Linked DNA regions of Arabidopsis thaliana. The protein of the gene in region 1 interacts with the protein of each later gene in a pairwise test. Each region holds a gene or a part of one and is shown in the gene's direction. Other genes may lie near its edges.

Region 1 (8,086 bases):
TATATATATTGAGTTTTTGGTCCAAAACTAACTCACATCATAAAATTCAACCGTGGGACTTCTCACAATATAATCAAATTAGATGTCTTTTCTAAAATTGTACAAAATCGACTTTCTTAGTAAAATATTATTTTAGTTAGGAAATTAAGAAACATGAAAATGAGATACGATCCACTCTTTCTTTTTAGTACTAATTAAAAAAAGATAATCTTTGACTAAAAGTTATGATCAGCAGACAGAAGAATATGGTAATCATATCATTAAGAATAAGAGATTACACGTTTCGAATTATGGTGCAACATCAGAATAAACAAGATATATATTTCTAATCAGAAGTACTAAAGAAAAAAAGTGAGAATATTAAGCTAGTTTTAGAAGGAGTATGTTGCATGAAAAATGTAAGAAAAACAATAAAGAAGGTGGGGGCCAAAGAGGCAGCAAATATCAAGGGGGTCTTTGTTAGTTGTTGGGACTCAGTCACTAACTCACAACTTCTGAAGAAGAGACTCATTCTTTCTCCTTCTCCCATCCCATCATCCTTTTTGTTTTCTTCTTTTCTTATTCTTTTTTTTCTTCTCCAATGAAGTTACGAAAGGTTATTACTCATAATCAAATGTTTTTAAAAGTAGATAATTAAGTAAGTTGCGAAATTGTGAAAGGAATATACAAAACATAATATGATACTTTGATCAGGTTATATGAATTAGTAGCAAACTAATATTATATGAGCAAAAATACATGTTACTAGATTTTAACCCGCGGTACACCGCGGACACAGTTCATTTTTAAAAATTAATATATATAAAAATTTGTAAATTATTTTATAGTTTACCATTGTTACTAAGTAACGTCCTGCCAAACCCGTCCTGCCAAACCCGTCCACAAAAAAAAACTATTTATTTTATTAATGTTGATCTTATTTATAATATGTTTATGAATCATTGTCAAAATATTTTAGTCGTTGCGGGACGTTGTACCCACACATTTTTCGCCAATTGGTTAATATATGTTCATTCTTAAAATTTCGAATTACAAAATATGACGAAATTTTTTTTGAGATTTTTTTAAACTTTATATATTATATAATGATGTTAATTATTTTTGATAGATTAAACTTTTTATAAATTCAAATATTAATAATGTTTTATGAAGTTTAAATATACAAATAATAATATTTAAAAAATTAATATTTTTTGCCTTTTAGGTAAATGATATAATAACTCTAAAAGCAAAATTTAAAAGATTTAAATCTTTAAATAAATATTTTCATGCCTAAATAATTAATGTCAGTAGCATGACATTGTAAATAAGTTCAAATACATGATTTGTTTATTTAAACAAAAAATATTTAGTAAGAACAATATTTATTTAAACAAAAAATTTTGTTAATAAAATACGTTTATGCTAATTTTAAGGGATTGATGTGAAGTTTGTTTGGATTAAATTTGATTGATAATGTGATTGACAATTTAAATTAAAAATTTAAAGTAAAATTAATTATTTTGAAAAAAAGATTTAATGCTAATGGCATTGGGTTGTAAATAAGTTCAACTCTAAGATTTATTTGCTAAAATGACTGCAAAAATGTATATATAAATGTTTTCAAATTATGAAGCAATCATTTGGACCATCAAATATATTTTATTTATTTTTACTAAACCCATTTGAAGATATTTATCCAATAAGTAGTAAGTATTTGAGTAGTTTTATTTTACTGAAAGAGTCGGTGTGGTTATTGAAGTATAAATTTTATATTACAGACCGCTGAAAGTTTTTTTTAGTTGATTAGGTTTTTAAACACAGACAGTACTTTAGTTAATCAATAACAAAATGCTGATTTTCATATTGTTTGTCTCAGAAAAAGAGAGAAAAAGTGCTTTTGTTACAAAATCGAAAGGAGCCTACTCTTCTGTCTTTAGCCGGTTGGTTGGCTCTTAACAACGCAATGAAAAAGCATTTTTTCTAATAAATCGAAAACAAATAAAAATTCATAACATAAAAAAAGAAAGAACAAAGAAAGATTCCAAAGAGATACTGTTTCCTTTGTAAGAGTATGCAAAGAAAAAGCTAATCAATTTGCGGTTTTTATTCCTCACAACTCACACAAGTTAAAGAAAATTATGGTGTGAATGAGAAAAACAAAGGGTTACGTCAATTTCGTAATACCATAAATCCAATAGATGCATATAAACTTTGATGGTTCATTTTGAGTGAATAGTCTAGTATGAATAATTAAACGATTGATTCATCGATGGTTTGACGTATTTAAAAAACAGTTGATTTTGAAGAAAACAATCTAGACAATGGATTGAATTAGTCTTATTAGCACCTAATTAAACTTTTAACATTTCTTCTTTCAACAAAAAGGACGAAAATCAAAAACGGTAATAATTAGCAAAAAAGTGAAAACTTTTATTTTGTGTAAACGTGTGTATATTGACACAAATATAGTTTTTATATATAAAATTTCATGTGAATAAATAAGTCTTTATTGGGAAACAAAAACAAAAAAGAGAGAAGAAGAGGAAGAAGAAGAAGAAGGAGAAAGGGAGAGTGTAGGTGTGGGTTCTGTTCTGTCTTGGCTTTGTCTCCCCCGCTTATCTCTCCCTCTCTTTCTCTCTCTCTCTCTCTTTCCACTAAATTGTTTTTTTTTTGCTCTTTAAAAAGTATATTTTTTTCCAATCTGCAAATTTTAGTCTATGTCTGTTCCTTGTGCTCCCTCTTCTCAGTACCTGCAAATGGAGGAAGAAGAATCCTTCTCTGAAACCCTTGTTCTCATTTGATTCCTCCTTCCTCTCTCTTCTTCTCTCTCTGTCTCTGATTCGTTATTCCACACTTATGACTCATCTTTCCCGTCAATAGCTAAGTTTGCCTCTTCTTTGTGAAATTTAGCTGAAAAAGGAGAGGAATTCCGAATTCTGTCACTTCAAAGCTCGAATTTTGCAAACTTTCCTTTGATGGGTTTTACTTGTTTTGTTGTAATCTGATTAAAAATAGAAACTTTTTGTTTTCTTCTTGTCTCCTTTTGCTCTTAAAAGAGAAGCTTTTTCAATGGAATTTGACTTGAATACTGAGATTGCGGAGGTGGAAGAGGAGGAGAATGATGATGTAGGAGTAGGAGTAGGAGGAGGAACAAGAATTGACAAGGGTAGGCTTGGAATTTCACCATCTTCTTCTTCTTCATGCTCTTCCGGATCATCATCGTCATCATCTTCTACAGGCTCTGCATCTTCCATTTACTCTGAGCTTTGGCATGCTTGTGCTGGTCCTCTCACTTGTCTTCCCAAGAAAGGCAATGTAGTTGTCTATTTCCCTCAAGGTCATTTGGAGCAAGATGCTATGGTTTCATATTCGTCTCCTCTTGAAATCCCCAAATTTGACCTTAATCCCCAAATCGTCTGCAGGGTGGTTAATGTCCAGTTGCTTGTAAGTCTGTCTGTATCACTCTACCCAAATAAAGAACATTCCTTTTGTGTTCTATTTTACTATTCTTGAACAAGTTCTGTTTTCTTTCTCTAATTGTGGTAATTGTTTGCAAACTTGGTTCCTTCTTTTGGGGAAACAAAAGGCTAATAAGGACACCGATGAGGTCTACACTCAAGTCACTCTGCTTCCACTTCAAGAGGTACTCTCTTTTACTCAAACTTGTTGCTTTTTTGACAATTCAATTGATTTTTGATATCACTAGTGTAATTCCAGATTCTAGGTGTGATTTTAGATGCTACGGTTTAAAGAGATTGTGAATAATCTTGTTTGTTCTCTAAGTGACTCAAACTCATCATTGGTTTAACAGGATCAGAGGAATCACTGAAACCGTTGGTCTTGTTGAGTTTCATTTATAATCTCTGTGATGTTAAGATGCTGAAGTAACTTCTTGGTTTTTATAGTTTTCGATGCTAAATGGGGAGGGGAAAGAGGTCAAGGAGTTAGGAGGGGAGGAAGAGAGGAACGGAAGCTCATCCGTCAAGCGGACACCTCATATGTTCTGTAAAACCTTAACAGCGTCTGACACAAGCACACATGGAGGCTTCTCTGTACCTAGAAGAGCCGCTGAAGATTGTTTTGCTCCTCTTGTATAATTCTCTATATCTCATTTCCTTATTTTTTTTTTTAAGGAGAGGTTTTATCTTCTTGTTATAAGCCTTATTTGTGAATTTTCCACTGGTGTTAGGACTACAAACAACAGAGGCCATCTCAAGAGCTCATTGCAAAGGACCTCCATGGAGTAGAGTGGAAGTTTCGCCATATCTATAGAGGTGGTTTTGAGTTTGTTATTATTCGTTTCTTTTTTCTTCGTCAGTGAAACCAAAATGTTTAGTTCTGTCTCTTTTTAATATAGGTCAACCAAGGAGGCATCTACTCACCACTGGTTGGAGTATCTTTGTCAGTCAAAAGAATCTCGTCTCTGGTGATGCGGTTCTCTTTCTGAGGTAATCGTAAGATTTCAGTTTATCAAATGGTGATGTAGATTCATGGTGTTTCCCTCTGCTTTGGTGGTTTGAAGCCCTTGATCCAATAATGTTTACATTCATTACTAATATCGGCGTTTATAGAGACGAAGGAGGAGAGCTGAGATTAGGAATCAGAAGAGCAGCACGGCCAAGAAATGGACTTCCTGACTCAATCATTGAGAAGAATTCATGTTCAAACATTCTGTCTCTTGTGGCTAATGCTGTATCTACAAAAAGCATGTTTCATGTGTTCTACAGTCCACGGTGAGATAAAAATGAAAAGCTGCCATTCGTAATGATTCTTAACTAGGTTCAGTAAGAAATAAAGAACTATAATGTTGATTTGTGGATTTATATACAGAGCGACGCATGCAGAGTTTGTGATTCCTTATGAGAAGTATATCACAAGCATCAGGAGTCCTGTTTGCATAGGCACAAGATTTAGAATGCGATTTGAAATGGACGATTCTCCTGAGAGAAGGTATTGTTTCTTTCTTGCTTCTTTCTCTGTGTTGTGTAGCTAATATTGTTGGACGAGAATTTATATTCGATCTTTCTTGCAGATGCGCTGGTGTAGTGACTGGAGTCTGTGACTTGGACCCGTATAGGTGGCCAAACTCTAAATGGAGGTGCTTGTTGGTGCGTCCTCTCATCTTTTTGGAGTATCTGTCTATTAACGTGTAGAAGACTTTTCATTTTCGAAGATTGATATCTAAATCTTTCACATTTGTTTGGCAGGTGCGATGGGATGAGTCTTTTGTGAGTGATCATCAAGAAAGAGTTTCACCTTGGGAGATTGATCCCTCGGTTTCTCTCCCACACTTGAGCATTCAGTCATCTCCAAGGCCTAAAAGGCCATGGGCAGGTTTACTGGATACTACCCCACCCGGAAACCCCATAACAAGTAAATTATATAGACCTCTCTTCTCTTTGGAGTATATGCTTTTGCAAACAGTTCTCAATTTTCATCAGTATATTATTGATAACTGTTCTTGGTTGCAGCAGAAAGGGGTGGTTTTTTGGACTTTGAGGAGTCGGTTAGACCCTCTAAGGTCTTGCAAGGTCAAGAAAATATAGGTTCTGCATCACCCTCACAGGGGTTTGATGTTATGAACCGCCGGATACTGGATTTTGCGATGCAGTCTCATGCAAATCCAGTTCTTGTGTCGAGTAGAGTCAAGGATCGATTTGGTGAGTTTGTAGATGCTACTGGCGTGAACCCAGCTTGTTCAGGTGTTATGGACCTGGATAGGTTTCCAAGGGTCTTGCAAGGTCAAGAAATTTGCTCGCTTAAATCATTCCCGCAATTTGCTGGTTTCAGTCCAGCTGCTGCTCCTAATCCCTTTGCTTACCAAGCCAACAAGTCAAGTTACTATCCGCTAGCTTTGCATGGGATTAGGAGCACTCATGTTCCGTATCAGAATCCATACAATGCGGGAAACCAATCCTCGGGTCCCCCTTCACGTGCAATAAACTTTGGTGAAGAGACTAGAAAGTTTGATGCACAAAATGAAGGTGGCCTACCAAATAATGTTACAGCTGATTTGCCATTCAAGATTGATATGATGGGAAAACAGAAAGGCAGTGAGTTGAATATGAATGCTTCATCAGGATGTAAACTTTTCGGATTCTCCTTACCAGTGGAGACACCTGCATCTAAGCCGCAAAGCTCGAGCAAAAGAATCTGTACAAAGGTAAAACGTTTTCTTTATCATCTCTTTGGCTACTTTGAGTTGCAGTTTTAGATGTCTCTTCTAATCAGTTCTTGTGTTGAATTGTTATCAAAAGGTTCACAAGCAAGGAAGCCAAGTGGGGAGAGCTATTGATTTGTCGCGACTTAACGGGTATGATGATCTCCTTATGGAGCTTGAACGGCTGTTCAACATGGAAGGGCTTCTCAGGGATCCTGAAAAAGGATGGAGGATCTTATATACTGATAGTGAGAACGATATGATGGTCGTTGGCGATGATCCATGGCAGTAAGTTCTTTATACATACCTTCTAAAGGTCAATCACAACTTCTTTTCTCCTAACTTGAAATTGGCTTTCTGCTATGGATAGTGATTTCTGCAATGTGGTGTGGAAGATACACTTATACACGAAAGAGGAAGTGGAGAATGCGAATGACGATAACAAGAGTTGTTTAGAGCAAGCTGCTCTCATGATGGAAGCATCAAAGTCATCTTCTGTGAGCCAGCCTGATTCTTCTCCTACAATCACTAGGGTTTGATACCCATAAAGAAGCTTATTTCCTATGTTTTAAAGTGTGTTTTGCTCACAAAAGAACTTCAACTTTATCTTTGTCTTTGAATCCATTTATGTGTTTGTTTGTGTTTCTTCTGGTCTCCATGGATGTCTCATGTGTACCGTTTTACTCGAGAGATATGTGAGTTTATGGGATGTGTAAAGCATGCCATTGGATTTTAAGGTTTTCAAAATTACAATATATATATTAGTTTTGAAGTATTTTGCTTGATTTTGAAAATTTCATTTCTTAAGTTCTTACATATGTGGATACTCTTGTATTGTTCTTACAATTTTTTTATTTATTTTTAGATTGATATCTAATACATACTAGATATTTGATGATGATTTAATCTTTTTTAAGGAAAATAAATATTAGAGTATACTGCACGGATTAATTAAATAGAATGATGTGACATAGATTTAGCCTTTTTTTCAACTAAAAGTTAACCTTAATTTTATTATATTTTCCTTAAATTTAACATTAATTTTATTATATTTTCTATATTAGAATTAGATTTTTATCATTTTAGGAATATTTCACAATATCTGTATTTCATCATTATAAGGAATGAAATTAGAGGGAAAGCCATTGTAATGCTGTCATTTCATTTTTTACAATGTACCAAAATATGTGGGATAATGTATGTACTATTTTAGTTGAAAAATGGTGCACACAGAAATTTTCATTATGCTTTTTTGCAAATTTATTTTAAAATAGTACATGATTGATTATGATTATTACCTTTCTGTGTTTAAAATTCTGCAATTGCCCAAAATGCGTAAACGTAACCATGGCAGACTAGTATTTTCAGAGGCGTAATGCATTTGTTTCCGACACATATAATTTATATATAGCAATAACATAATTTTGAAATGAAACAACACAATACAACATAATACTTAAACAAGAACAAGAAAAACAACAACAACACATGTAGAAACATAAATAAGAAGAAATAAAGATAACCTAAACACACAACTTTTTGTCTAGAGACTTAAGTTGGATCACACAACAAAGGGTTAATAGTAATCAGATCTAGACTGGGGAGGATAACCATGATGATGTTCATATTCAGAGATGTTTTCTCTCTTAAAACTCTGGTTTTGGATTTGGATTTGAACTTGATTTTGGTTTTGGATTTGGTTTTGGTTTGGGTTATACTCTGGTCTGAAGTTCACATTGTATTCTGGAACAAACCCTTCATTAATACCATAAGCATTGTTTCCAAAGGGTGGTAATGCATGATTAGGGTGAATTTGGTTCTGGTTGTAGTTGAAGGCATTTATGTCCATCATTCTTCTTTGGCTAAAGAGATCCATATCAGGGTTGATATGACTACCATCATCAATCCCAAAAGCAGCATTATTACTAGAACTTCCCACATAGA
Region 2 (5,139 bases), 6.8 Mb from region 1:
AAAGTTATAGTATAACTTTATTATTTTAACAGCTCATTTATTTTACATAATTCGTTTTTTGTTTATTCATTTTTTTATGATTATAAGTAACAAAAATATGCACTAAATGAATGTTTAAATTTATTTTAACATAAAATAAATAGTGTTGCTTATATGGATGCTTAGATGGACACCCTAAATGGAGAGAGGACTCTCCTATTATATATATACAGGTTAAACATTATGCAATGAAACCAAAGTTTTTCATTTCAAATCGAACCCAAAGTCTTGCCACAATTCAAATAAAAACTACAATATAGAATATGGATTGATGATTGTTATTTGCTTCCATATTTCAAAACTATATGATCTATCTCTTGTAACTCTTAAACTGTTTGTTTTCTAGTTTGCACTCTAGAATTGGTCTTATATTGTTAGTTTGTTACCGACTTTTTGTAGAATATCAGTTATACTAGTCTCATGTATATTTACAAAATTTTGTAATAAATTCATATAATTTTACTTAGTCAATAACTGGACTTTTTCCTTGTAATTTGATAAGTATTTATTTGGCTGGTAACAAAAACAAAATAATTAGTAATTTACAGTAGATCCCTTTATATAACTATTGTATCTAGAAATAGTTGTACTTCTACGTATTGGGGAGTACCCCGAGTTTTGTGTAACAACTTCCGCTATATATTGTAAAGTAAAAAAATACCAATGAAGTTTGCTTTCCTTATCTGCCTAATTGTTACATCAGGTAAAATTTATATTTCACGTGTGAAGCAAATAACAAAAATCTATATACAAAATTTGTTATTTATAGTTTCTGATTTTGTAGTGATGAGTATCGTTACTGTTCGAAATGTTGAGGCGAAAAGGTTATTACTTGAAGAAATTCCTCAGTTGCATCATGAAGGTTCGCCGCAGGTAGTGAAATTACTGGATGATGACTGCATGGATGGATGTCATATGAAATGTATTCCTAACAACAGAATTACTCCTTGTTTATGTCTATGTTAATTTTCCGTTTTCTTTTTTGAATAAGATATGTTTTCACTAATAATAAAACTTTGTTGCATAGTCCATACAAAAAATATTGAACATTATGTAAAAAAATTCAAAAAAGATAGTTAAGAACAAATTCAACATGGAAGAGGTGATGCCTAATTTTTCATCAAACCAGCCACCATTAGAATAATCACTAGGATGATATAAAAGCATATATATTGCCCACCAACTATAACTTATGAAGCTGTATATGTATGATCATGTGTGTAGCTGTTTTATATCATTTATTGGATCCAACGGTGGATCAATCCAACATAGAGTCCAAAAGAACCGGAACCGGAGAGAATGCCATGAACCGGTTTGTTGTTAGATACGTCTCATTTTCAGTATTTGATTTCTAGCTAAATAAGCTAGTCATGAACTTAAATCTCTAACGCCAACCATGCAATGAAACCAACTTTTCACATTTCAAATCGAACCCAAAGTCTTGTCGTCTACCGTGTAACAATAAATACCAAACTCACTACCTTTAAAATTCTCCTTTTTGAGACCAATTCGGATAAAACCAACAATCTCCTAAATGTTCACTTCCCAAATGTCGTAATCCATAAATCATACTCAAGAAGAAGGATTTAGACTATTAGGAGGTCATGTGCCAAAAATAACATAATACTAATGATAAATTAATCACAAATATTTAAGCACCATTTAGAATCATCAATCACAGTGGATTAGTGTTGGATTTGATTCTATTGAAATCCATGACTGAATAATACCCCTTAATGTGTAACGATTCAAAACTTTTTCTACAGAAAAAAAAAATTTGAAATCGAGACTAAACAAACTTAGGATAAAAAAATAGTCTTGAACATAGGTTTTCAAATTTGGTCCTCCAAAGAGATTAGGTTAGGTTTGGTTTACATTGGTTCACTAAAGCATGACAAGTACATAAACTGCCTTGCTGTAGTAACATGAAAACAAAGTCAGAGAGAAATCAAAACCCAAAACGATAAGACCCCATAGATAATGAACTGTCTAAAGACAAAACCTTTTGGCAAGATTTCTTGTCAGTTTGTTCCTGGATTCATATATATAAAGATCATTAGAAGTTTCATAGAGACAGAGAGACAAATTAAGTTGGGACTTTCATGAAAACTAGTAAAGAAAAACAAATAGTATAATTTTAACTCAAATACTATTTGTTTTTCTTTACTAATACTCTCGAAAGTCCCAACTCAAATACTAGTTGGACACACATGAAGCTACCAATCAGACCCAATGAAACTCAAAATCTTATCCTCCAAACACAGAAAAAAAGACTATGAATATGTTTGACTTTAGACAGCTAGAGTTTCAACTCAATTGACTAGGATGATCTAATCCTGATATCACATGAACCACAAATAGATGAAAGAGTAAGTTCTTGGCTTTAAGAGAGAGAGAGAGAGGTGACAAATGCATATGGCAGACCACAGTACATGTAATGCTTACCCTACAATAACTCAATGCTTGAACAAAAGAGAAAGGTTTTTTATATTCTGCACATGAGTGTACCATACTCTACCCCACTTCCTTGAATTAGGGCTACAGAGAAATGAATCTAGACCGTCCTCTAAAATCAAAGAAAGTATCTTTCTTTGTGTTGAAGATGAAAGTGTCCCACAAATGTCCCCAAAATGATGGGACACACTTTGCCTCAAAGTTGCTGCTACTGTTTACTACCCGACAGCTTTAGCTTTTGCCTTTGTCCTTAAATCAAGTTAATCCCATTTTTTCTAAATTACCAAAAAAGTGACTTTTCAATTCCTATAAAACAATCTTCTTCACAAAGCCTCTTATCTCATCAACAAGTCTTTCTCTCTCTCTAGACAACCACAAGAACACAAAACACACAAAAACAAAGAGGTTCTTTCTTTGAAGAAGAAATGGAAAAAGTTGATGTTTATGATGAGCTTGTTAACCTAAAGGCAACAGAGCTGAGATTGGGATTACCAGGGACAGAAGAAACTGTTTCTTGTGGAAAAAGCAACAAAAGAGTTTTACCTGAAGCTACTGAGAAAGAGATTGAATCCACTGGAAAAACTGAAACCGCTTCTCCTCCAAAGTAAGTGTTTGAATCAAATACAACTTCTCTGAAAATGTGTGTTGAGTTGTGAATCTGATCTAATCTAATCTATGCTATTTCTTGTTTTATAGGGCTCAGATTGTTGGATGGCCACCAGTTAGATCTTACAGAAAGAACAATGTTCAGACAAAGAAGAGTGAATCTGAAGGTCAAGGAAACTATGTGAAAGTAAGTATGGATGGTGCTCCATATCTAAGGAAGATAGATCTAACGATGTATAAACAATATCCAGAGTTGATGAAATCACTTGAAAACATGTTTAAATTCTCTGTGGGAGAATATTTTGAGAGAGAAGGATATAAAGGCTCAGACTTTGTACCTACTTATGAAGACAAAGATGGTGATTGGATGCTTGTTGGTGATGTTCCTTGGGAGTAAGTACAAATTTTCATTTATCTCTCAAATTAGTTAACTTATGACACAATCTTGTTTATGTATTTATGGTGTTTTGTTGTTATTGCAGGATGTTTGTTTCGTCTTGTAAGAGGCTAAGGATCATGAAAGGATCTGAAGTTAAAGGTTTAGGTTGTGGTGGTCTTTAACAAACCTAATTGAGAGATAAAGATCAAAGAGAAAGATTCAAAAACAGAGTTTTTTGTTCTGTTTCTTGAAACAGAGTAAATATAGCTCTGAAACTGCTCGGGTTCTTGGGGAGAGATGTTTCATACAATCATACTTTGTGAATGTTTACCTCATCGGTAAAAAGAGAGATGCTTAAAATGGTCTTAAGCATAAAAGTGTGAGAAAGATCTAAATCTAAACTTTAGCTGTAACTCTGTCTCCATTAAAGAGAAAGGTTTTGTGGTATTAGAAAGATCTAATCTGAAGATTATCTTTGTGTTTTTCACTTTTTATAATGTTCTTATCGAACAACTTTGATGTTTTTGATGTAATTACCCATTTTTCTGTTCTGTTTCTCTTCAAATTAAGATCTGTCTTTACAAAACTGTAACACAGAACATTAAACCTAACTTGTAGATGAACACAACGAAGACAAATCATTAAACCAAAGCTGCTTTATGGTAAAAATAATAATCCCAGCTTCTAAACATATATCATTGGATTCTAGTTTCTTTAAACTTAGATTATACATGTTTAGTCACCAAGATTAAAGAAATAAGAAATCTAATCGAGCAGTGAGAATATTTTTGGGGCTTTGGAAATGTTTATATTATCTTTTGTTGTTACCAACTGTGACTTTGGTCCCCCATACCTTAAACAAGTAAATCTACCCAACTGTGCTAATTTGTCTCCACTATCACTTATAATAATCTATGAACCTTGGAACTAGAGTAATATTTTAAAATGGTATAGATAGGTTCATTGAATTTAGGTTTTTCCTTTGTGCACCAACAATTTTTACATTCATACCTAATGTTCTTGATGCAAGATGATTATTAAGTCAAGAATTTTACCAAATACTTAAACCTAGTTGTCTCGATGATGATGATGATGATTATGATGAGACAACAATCGATCAACAAAAGAAGGATTCAAGATTCTTGATGAGATTGGAAAACTGAATCTATATTTCTAACAAAAGTTTTTGTAATCTTCTTCTGTGGAACATATATATAAATGAGAGATTTAAGAAGAGTATGATCTTTGATCATCAGTTTCTGACTCTAACAAGGTTAGCTCTTGACCTGTTTGGTCGTTGCTACTACCACCAGAGATTGTCATTATTGGTTCAGACTGAGAAGTAAATCCTTCTTCTTCCTGTGGTCTCTTCTCCACTGTTTGATCCGAGATTAACACAATTGAACTGCTTGTAACTACCGGTTTAGGTTGATTAACATCTTCACGATCTGTCTTCTCCGGTAGAACATACGAAAAACCATATTTCTGAGCATGTGTTAGTCCTGGACATAAACCCTACAAAAACCCCAAAACAAAAGAAACTGACTTTGATGAAAGAAAGAAATATTTTTATTTCTGGTACTGGCCTTTATCAAACCGGTAACTGGAAAAGATTCGTGGTAAGGAATCCGAAAGAAAGAAAGAAACATTTTTATTTCTGG
Region 3 (4,485 bases), on another chromosome or scaffold:
CTCGCAAAATTTGCGACGGAAAAGCGACGTGTCTTCTCTCCCTCGCAAATGTCTCGCAAATCTGTAGCAATTTGCGAGGGATTGTTTCCATCGCAAATTGTCCTCGCAAATCGCTTGTTTTCTTGTAGTGGTATTTGGAAGTTTATAAGGTTTATCAACTCCAACTTAAATACTTCTTCCGTCTTTGATACTAGATGTTTAAATGTTTTGCACACAAATTAATTAATCATTTATTTTTATTTATTTTTTAAACTAAAAATCATTTATTATGTACCTAAATACGATTCAACAAATAATAAAACAACCTACAGAACTTAAATCGTGAAAACAATTAAAAAAATTTACATTGAAAGTTGAAAACATTATCTAGTTTAAAACACATTTTTTTTCTTCTCTAAAATATGAAATATATAAAAATATCAAACTGAATCATTCTTTTTTCTTCTTCTTATGATCTCTGTCTTTCTGTTAGATTATATATATGAGAATCTTATATTTGTATATATCTAATATCTTAGGAACAGATTTATGCTTATCTCATGTAACCCTATATATATGTTCAATACATAACTCTCCATTCACGGAGATTCATACAATTACACTTTCATTATCATCACACTTGTAAATACTGAATTTTATAGTTGCCTTCATGATTTCGAACTAGATATATATTCTGTTGGTTCTGATTACATTTATATACATAAATTTATTCCAAGTTGCGTGTTATTTATTTGATCAGAATTAGTATATGACCCAAAAATAAATATTCAAATCAAAGTTCATGCGGTTTCATCATTTAGCTACGCGATGTAGGAACATACTTGACATCTTATTTTTATTTGGTCGTTCTTCTCTATGAATCACGTGGAAAAGTATACCAAATGATTTTTGGCAGATACGTATTACTAAAGTATCCGAGATTAAATATTAATACACTATATAGAAGAATTAATGGGACATAAATCATAAATGCATGGAAACATTGGTGAAAGACACTTAACACTTGGGACGACCAATGTTGTTTGATATGAAGTGAAATTAACGCGTCTGCCTAATTGTTATGGTTCATATTATGTCACATGGACCAACTTCTTGTTCTTCTTCATTCAAGAACCAACTCACGTACACGTTTTTTCATTTTCTTCCCTCAAATATCTAGCTGTATATTATATTGCAAAATCCAGATTTGAATATGATCGATGCAAAAGATTGTTTATAGAGTAGAGTAGTAGACTAAAGAACCAGATTACTCTTACCTATTCAGATTATTTGTGTTATATTTTGTAACTAACTTAGGTCACTAAGTAACGAATTTAAAGCTAAATGCATCTATTCATTCTATCACAAAATCCAGCCGTTATTTTTTAGAAATGTGAACAAATATTAAGCATTAAGATATTTAAAATAGGAAAAATAATAGCCACAAATAAAGTAAATTAAAGAAGAAAAAAAAAAACATTAGTGATAGTCCGATGATAGACGTGTCCTATTGATTACATGTTATTTCCCACTCAACTTCCTTAATTCTAATTCCAATCCTTGATGTGAGGGTTTTTTTCTTCATTGATTCTCAAATCTACATTATGTGATTCTTGATGTACCTGTATGTACAATTTGTATTCAACTACCAAATAAAAATGTGAGCAAGAATAGGCTAAGAAATAATACTAATACAGTATCCTTAGAATACATAATTGTATATTATTAAGGATAACACATGTAATGTTTAGGAAAGATGGCCAATGATAAATCTTATAAGAAACCTAACAAATATTAACACCGGTAAGATTTGTTCTCTTAAAACAAATCCTATATAAACAAAAATGAAGAACAAGGACCCAACATATGTCTCTCATGTGACCGACCAACACATCCTCAGTTGACCTGTCTTTGGTCTAACCTTGTCTTCCTCCACAAAGCTAACAGAAATAATTATGAATGTTAGTCTCTTCCATGTGTCAGTATATTATTGGATCTTGTTGGAGCAACTTGACAACATATAAAAGCACGAGGCAGCTCAATACTATCATTCCAACAAGAGAAGTGCTTGAGAGAAAAAAAAAGTATCAAAACTTCATATAGCCAAATTTAAACAAAAAGAAAAAAGAGAAGAAATAAATGGCAAAGGAAGGTCTAGCACTCGAGATCACAGAGCTTCGATTGGGTCTTCCAGGAGATAATTATAGCGAAATATCAGTATGCGGATCGAGTAAGAAGAAGAAGAGGGTGCTCTCGGATATGATGACCTCATCAGCGTTAGATACTGAGAATGAAAACAGCGTCGTTTCATCAGTTGAAGATGAATCACTGCCGGTTGTGAAGAGTCAAGCGGTGGGATGGCCACCTGTGTGTTCTTACAGGAGAAAGAAGAACAATGAGGAAGCATCGAAAGCTATAGGCTACGTGAAAGTGAGCATGGATGGTGTGCCATACATGAGGAAGATTGACCTTGGTTCGAGCAACAGTTATATTAATCTAGTCACGGTTCTTGAGAATCTCTTCGGCTGTCTTGGCATAGGTTAGTAATGGCATGGACTAATTTCCCGTAACGTTAGTTAATAGTTACATGACCATGTTTATAATTGAGCTATAAACTTTATATATACGTATTGTTAGGGTTTCTATATATATTGGAAGTGTGAAGAGAGTAAAACACATATATTAGTTGGAACTTTATGAAATATAACACATGTATATATAAACTATGCAGGAGTGGCGAAGGAGGGTAAGAAGTGTGAATACATTATTATATACGAAGACAAGGATAGAGACTGGATGCTCGTCGGAGATGTACCTTGGCAGTAAGTTTATGTTTAGCTTGCATTACAATGCTCAATTATCAAATTTACCAAAATGAATATAATTAACCTCTTACAAGTCAAAAATTTGTAATTTTATTTTTTAAATTGTAAATTTTTTTTGTCGGCAGGATGTTTAAAGAATCATGCAAGAGGCTGAGGATCGTGAAGAGATCAGATGCAACTGGTTTTGGTCTCCAGCAAGATTAATCATACTAGCTAGTGTTGATCATCTTTAATTAACCATAAAGTTTGAAAACCGTTGAGTAATTTTTTTTCATTATAATCATTTTTCAAATTGTAAAATTTATATGATAATGATGATATATACGTTTTCTTCAAATGTATTTCCTTACTGGTCGTATCATACTTTAATGTTTTATGGCTCATTAAAGGTGTTTCTTAGCCTCACAATACTTTTTTTTTTCGTCTGAATGATTCATATGAAATATAACACTTGAAATTGTTCACAAAAGTACAAAAGGAAACGAGGGTAATCAACTACAAAAAAACCATAACAACAAAGTAATGCCTCACAATAGTTTGCTTTAGTAGTTTTCTAGACTTACTATTATTTTCTCTTAAAAATCAAGTGGTACGTGATTATTATAACTTTATAAATCCTCCGGCTAAATCATCTTTTTATCGCCGATCCAAAGATAGTGGAAACCTATGAATCTTAAACGGAGCTAAAAATAGTGAAAACCTAATGAATCTTCCCAACTAATTTAAGAAAGAATGAAAAATGTTAAATATTTGTTTTTTTCTTTCACCAAGAGCCAAATTAAAGCTGGCTTATTCCTATATCATATCAAATGTAGTTTTGGGTGAAGATTCTAACCACTTTGTCGGTCCAAATAAATGTTGCCATATCTTCCGTATTAAATGATCATATCAGTTTGCAGGTAGCAGATTTGAAGTCTATATATATACTACATCCAATTAATCCCAACCCCTAAAGTTATCAAGACACTCACGCAAAAGAATGAAGGCACCGCCACAACAAGAAATGACTTACTATGACAATGTCAAGAAACGGCAAGACGAACAAGGCTGCTTATTCGCAACGTCCGTACCAAAATATAATCTCTTCTCTTTTCATTTAGTATCTGTATCGTAGACCCTTTTGTATCATTTAGTATCTCTTCTCTTTTCTTTTTTTATTTATCGAATTCGGAGTTCTTGATTATTTGATAATCTTTTAACCTGTTGTAGGTTTTACGCGTTGTTCTGTTGCTGTTGCTGCTACGAGAAGTGCAAGTGTTGTTGCTGCTGCGTTTGATTTCTATATATGTATCATCATCTCAACATTACTCTCATTAATTGTGTCCCTCGCATCACAATTGCTCTTTTAGATCTACTTAGTCTTGCGAATAAAATGTATATGTAATGGCTCAAGAACTCTAAAAGTTGATAAGATTTGAGTACTGTATATATTAATGAACAAATTTTCACTTATCAAACCGGGCGAAACCGGGCCAACCAGTCAAATTTTCTGTATAATTCGCTTTCAAGTTATGTTCACCTAAATTTTGAACCGATTCCAAACAATACCAAACCGAACAAAATCACAAATGGTTTTATTGTTTTATAAACTGACTGATAAAACTAGAAACCAAAATTACCGCCAAAATCAAATATTGGTTTAAAACTTTAAATACACAAGTTTTTTTTTTTTCTTCTTCTT
Region 4 (4,669 bases), on another chromosome or scaffold:
TATAATGTTTCTTTTGTCATTCTAAATTTTAAAATTATACTGTAAATGTTATTGATATATTTAGTTCTTAATAGAGTTTTAAACCCTTTTTTCTAATGCATGTTAAGACAAAGAAATTTAATATGAAGTTCATTATAGAGATATGACACTCTAATTATCTGGAACATAACGGAATAAGATCTTAATCAAATTCTGGATTCCGTTATGTAGATTTTTATGGAATGACAACAAAAGAAAGAAAAAATAACTGGGCTTATTTTGGGCTTGATACCATAATGGCATTATGATGTATCAAATCTGCCATGATGTATTCTTGACCCACTGTAGGAAACCTGGATTGGTTTGGGCTTAATTGGATAAACAATCTGTATAGAATTTACTGGTTTCGTAATTCTCTAAGTCTCGGACCGCTCTATTATGTTATCGCAATTTATTATACCCAAGTAAATGTCCAAGACATCAATATCAGTTTTCTAGAGCCTAAAAGCAGTTTCGATTATTTGAGACAAAAAGTATCAATTAACATTAAATACTAGCTACCAAATTTATGTACTTCTTATTATTATCTCACATATTTTGTTACGAGTCGAGTTAAATGAATTATACGACTGTTTCATTCCATGCGCATTATAACGAAAGAAAACAAACTTAGAAAACAATGGCTGACCGGAATTACCGGTCACGGGTTTGTAATCGAAACCGGTAAATTCGTCTATGTGTCGCCAGTAGGACCTATTAGCCCCTGGTTTAACTCTTATTGCCCTTATTGGTCTAAGAATAGTGTCGTGAACCATCGAAAAAATCATTTATGATTCTATGTTCCCCAACGAAAAACAGAGTCACGTGACTTACGCATGTGACCCTACGCTGCTGTAATTAATGTTCTGCTCTTTTCCTTTGTCTAAACTTTTTTGACATCTCATTTCATATTGCATGTAAATAATATGACTAATATGAAATTAATACCGGACACTGAAAAACTTTTCAGTAAAAACTTTATACTTGTTCACTAAAAAAGGGATAGTTATCTATCTCTAACTTTTTTTATCCCAAATCATGAAACTTTTAATCGCTTTTATACAATGATTGATGTTCATTATATATTTTATTTTAGATTTTATTTCAATTTTGAAGTAGAAGTTTCAACATTTAGTTCTGTTCACATTGTTTTTTTGGTGGGAACATTCTTTTCATTGTTTACAAGATCCACACGCATATTAGTTGGGATTTCTTCTGATATTCGGTGAAAGATTAAACTAATGAAGAAGTATTGTACCTAATTAGTGTGTAGTGTACGATGATAGATAATTAGGAATATATTGTTAGACCATGATTTGTTTTCGACCGACGACAGTGAAAGTTGATGTACATATATAATGGTGAAACTTTTTTACCAAGAAAAAGTTAGTTGGAATGATAATTTAAAGGAGTAAAGCGACAACAAAGTGTAGACAAAAGGAACACTATTGAAGATCTCTCCCGAAGAATATATTGGACTGAAGTTTTTTTTTTTTGGTCTAATGTTAAATTATTGGACTGAAGTTGACAAACACAAACAAATATATATGGGAATAAAGTTTATTATATTTTCCAACGATTATAAGCAAAGGTAACATGAATGCGATTAAAATGATATTTTCAACTCTATTTAGAAAGTAAATAATGGTATTTAGAATATATATTTTTCTCGTTTTGTGAATGCTAGTGGATAATATAATCAAATTATATATTTTTCTCCTTAATCGAACCCATCAGTCGTGACGTGGGAGCTTAAAGATCAGGGCTGATTTCTTCTTCTTCTTTCTTCTTTTTTAGTTGACAGTGATTTCTTCTTCTTCTTCTTCTTTTGATACCAGGCTAATAGAAATTAAAACTGAAAAGATATCCGTACACATGCAATTACATCCACTAATGACAGTTTAGAAGATGCTAAGTGGCTATAACTATAAATGAGCCCACACCACACGAAGTAGAAGCTAATCACCAAACTGTTCACTTGCTTTCGTGGAGATATAAAAACCGCCAGTTACAGGAAAACGTGTCATTATAGGTAGGGTTCACTAGTTTTTTAGCTGACAAGTATAGATCGACTATAAATACAAAGTTGGAAACCTCGAGAGTCTCACACACTCAAGCCAAAAGTTAGTGCCACATTGTCTCATCACTTTCCGCACTTTTGTTGTTAACTAACTTTCATAAATAGATTAAGATATTAATGTCACCGGAGGAATACGTTAGGGTTTGGCCGGATTCCGGTGATCTTGGAGGAACTGAGCTGACCCTAGCTTTGCCTGGCACTCCGACAAATGCATCGGAAGGTCCAAAAAAGTTCGGGAACAAACGTAGATTCCTCGAGACCGTTGATTTAAAACTCGGGGAAGCACACGAGAACAATTATATCTCAAGCATGGTCACTAAGTACGGCATATATATATTATATTAATTTCATTTATCGTTCATATAGGTCATATGCATGTTTGATTGATCTTCTTAATTTATTGTGGTTTTAGTGACCAGTTGGTGGGCTGGCCGCCGGTAGCGACAGCGAGGAAAACAGTGAGGCGGAAATACGTGAAAGTGGCGTTGGATGGTGCGGCCTATCTCAGAAAGGTTGATCTTGGGATGTACGATTGCTATGGACAGCTTTTCACCGCTCTAGAAAACATGTTTCAGGGGATAATAACAATATGTAAGTGATCGAGATAAGTAGGAAAAAATAAAGATTTTGATGTGTTTGGATGGACTGACGAAGTGAAGGATATTATGGTAAATTTACTTACACTTGGGGTTTTGGATGGTGGTAGGTAGAGTGACAGAGTTGGAGAGGAAGGGAGAGTTTGTTGCTACTTACGAGGATAAGGACGGTGACTTGATGTTAGTCGGAGATGTGCCGTGGATGTGAGTTCTCGGAATTACCCTTTGTGTTGCTTTTACGTACTTTTCCTTTTTTATTCAAAACTAGAATTTCTGTACTATTTTGTTACTTACATTCATATCAAAACTAGAATTACTGTATTATTCTGCTGTGAAGGAAACTAAATTTTCTTGGGATTGATGATATTTAATTTGTGTAGGATGTTTGTGGAATCTTGCAAACGTATGAGGTTAATGAAAACCGGAGATGCTATTGGATTATAGGTCTCTATTCTGCTTCCCACAACGTAAACGCATCGGATCTTCGAAAGGCTATATAAGATTATGATCACAAATGCATTAAATACTGTAGAGATGTATACAATTGCATTTTTGAATTGCAATATGCTATATATGTAATTTCAAACCTTTTTTGGCCGTGGATTTTGTATGTAATGTACTACTATTGTTTAAATGATTTTACTTTTTTTTTTTTTAATTCAATAATTACAAACCACTTTTAAGCATCAGTGCCGACCACCACGATCCGGGCATGACGACATCGACACTCGACAAGACGGGATGCTCAAAGTTTTAATATGTTTTTTTTAAAAAAATTACACGTTTCATTTTTATGCATTCGAATTTGTGCATTAAATGATCCTAGAGATCGTAATATAAAAGCGGATTTTTTTTTTTGTAAGAATGCTAGGTCTTGTAACATTTTTCTCTAGCACTCGTAGACCTTACTGTTATTGATTACATGCAGGAATATCAATAAACGAAGAACTAAAAATGGAATTGAATACTTGAGATTGACATTAAATTATCCTAGAGATCGTAATATAAAAGCGGATTTCTTTCTTGTAACATTTTTCTCTAGCACTCTGTATATATCTTATTGTTATTGATTACATGGCGGAAACATCTATTATCAATAAACGAAGTGCCATTTGAAAATTTAAAATTTTAACATTTATCCAAAAATAAACTTATAGTTTTAGTAGTAATGTAAAAATAGAATTTTAAAAACATTTGTTAAAAAAAAAAACAAGTGTTAAAAGTTTAAATAGTGTGTAAACCATTTTAAATCTAGGACACTTTTTAGGGGTTTGCATGTTGTGTCCAAATATATATACAAAATTTAAAAATTTAACACTTATAAAAAACAAACCCTTATAGTTTTAGTAGTAATATAAAAATACAAGTTTAAAAACATTTGTAAATAAAAGAAAAAAAATGTTAAAAATTTAAATAGTGTGTAAACCATATTGAACCTATGACACCTCTTAAGGGTTTGGATGTTGTGTCCAAATATTTACACAAAATTTAAAAATTCAACACTTGTAAAAAATAAACCTTATAGTTTTAATAGTAATATAAAAATATAATTTTAAAAACATTTTTAAATAAAATAAAAATAAGTGTTAAAATAGTAATGTTTTAGTGAAGGTTTTGTACTAATTAGTTTTGGTTTTACTTAAAATAAGTTATAAAGAAAAGAAAACAATTCTTAGCAAAAAAAAAAAAGAAGCAAAAGAAAAGAATGAAGAAAGTAATACCTTGTTGGATTTGGTAGCAAAGAAAGCCCATTGGAAGCCCACCGTGAGCCCACTTGGAAAATTTGAGAAGCTTCTTTCTTCTTCCTTTCATCAAAAGCCCATTGGAAGCCCATTGTTGCTTGCGTCTTTGTTGGAAACTCGTCTGAAATTGGTCGTCTTCTTCATTCATTGTCGACACTGCGTTCGACTTGTCGTCTCCTATCAATATCATCACAGTTCATCTTCAGTGTAGTGTGATTGCCGATGATCAAAGC

What was found.
Region 2: the proteins of ARF4 (region 1) and ATAUX2-11 interact in a two-hybrid assay, tested with the Arabidopsis thaliana proteins (one large-scale study listed by BioGRID).
Region 3: the proteins of ARF4 (region 1) and IAA6 interact in a two-hybrid assay, tested with the Arabidopsis thaliana proteins (one large-scale study listed by BioGRID).
Region 4: the proteins of ARF4 (region 1) and IAA15 interact in a two-hybrid assay, tested with the Arabidopsis thaliana proteins (one large-scale study listed by BioGRID).

Annotation. Positions count from the first base shown.
Region 1 is NC_003076.8:24,307,153-24,315,238, reverse strand, and holds ARF4 (auxin response factor 4), read left to right. Parts: upstream 1-2,454; 5' UTR 2,455-3,051; coding exon 3,052-3,426; intron 3,427-3,568; coding exon 3,569-3,625; intron 3,626-3,887; coding exon 3,888-4,073; intron 4,074-4,171; coding exon 4,172-4,256; intron 4,257-4,339; coding exon 4,340-4,430; intron 4,431-4,553; coding exon 4,554-4,715; intron 4,716-4,812; coding exon 4,813-4,932; intron 4,933-5,014; coding exon 5,015-5,090; intron 5,091-5,189; coding exon 5,190-5,355; intron 5,356-5,456; coding exon 5,457-6,145; intron 6,146-6,239; coding exon 6,240-6,430; intron 6,431-6,512; coding exon 6,513-6,681; 3' UTR 6,682-6,984; downstream 6,985-8,086. Other genes in the region: AGL62 (AGAMOUS-like 62), read right to left, coding at 7,719-8,086. UniProt on the Arabidopsis thaliana protein: Auxin response factors (ARFs) are transcriptional factors that bind specifically to the DNA sequence 5'-TGTCTC-3' found in the auxin-responsive promoter elements (AuxREs). Could act as transcriptional activator or repressor.
Region 2 is NC_003076.8:17,547,547-17,552,685, forward strand, and holds ATAUX2-11 (AUX/IAA transcriptional regulator family protein), read left to right. Parts: upstream 1-2,632; 5' UTR 2,633-2,918; coding exon 2,919-3,097; intron 3,098-3,189; coding exon 3,190-3,492; intron 3,493-3,581; coding exon 3,582-3,660; 3' UTR 3,661-4,169; downstream 4,170-5,139. Other genes in the region: AT5G43695 (uncharacterized protein), read left to right, coding at 703-742, 824-1,005; AT5G43710 (Glycosyl hydrolase family 47 protein), read right to left, coding at 4,706-4,993. UniProt on the Arabidopsis thaliana protein: Aux/IAA proteins are short-lived transcriptional factors that function as repressors of early auxin response genes at low auxin concentrations.
Region 3 is NC_003070.9:19,671,193-19,675,677, reverse strand, and holds IAA6 (indole-3-acetic acid 6), read left to right. Parts: upstream 1-2,025; 5' UTR 2,026-2,118; coding exon 2,119-2,518; intron 2,519-2,710; coding exon 2,711-2,801; intron 2,802-2,929; coding exon 2,930-3,008; 3' UTR 3,009-3,202; downstream 3,203-4,485. Other genes in the region: CDT1 (cadmium tolerance 1), read left to right, coding at 3,818-3,866, 4,014-4,153. UniProt on the Arabidopsis thaliana protein: Aux/IAA proteins are short-lived transcriptional factors that function as repressors of early auxin response genes at low auxin concentrations.
Region 4 is NC_003070.9:30,220,249-30,224,917, reverse strand, and holds IAA15 (indole-3-acetic acid inducible 15), read left to right. Parts: upstream 1-2,148; 5' UTR 2,149-2,215; coding exon 2,216-2,418; intron 2,419-2,510; coding exon 2,511-2,697; 3' UTR 2,698-2,898; intron 2,899-3,074; 3' UTR 3,075-3,289; downstream 3,290-4,669.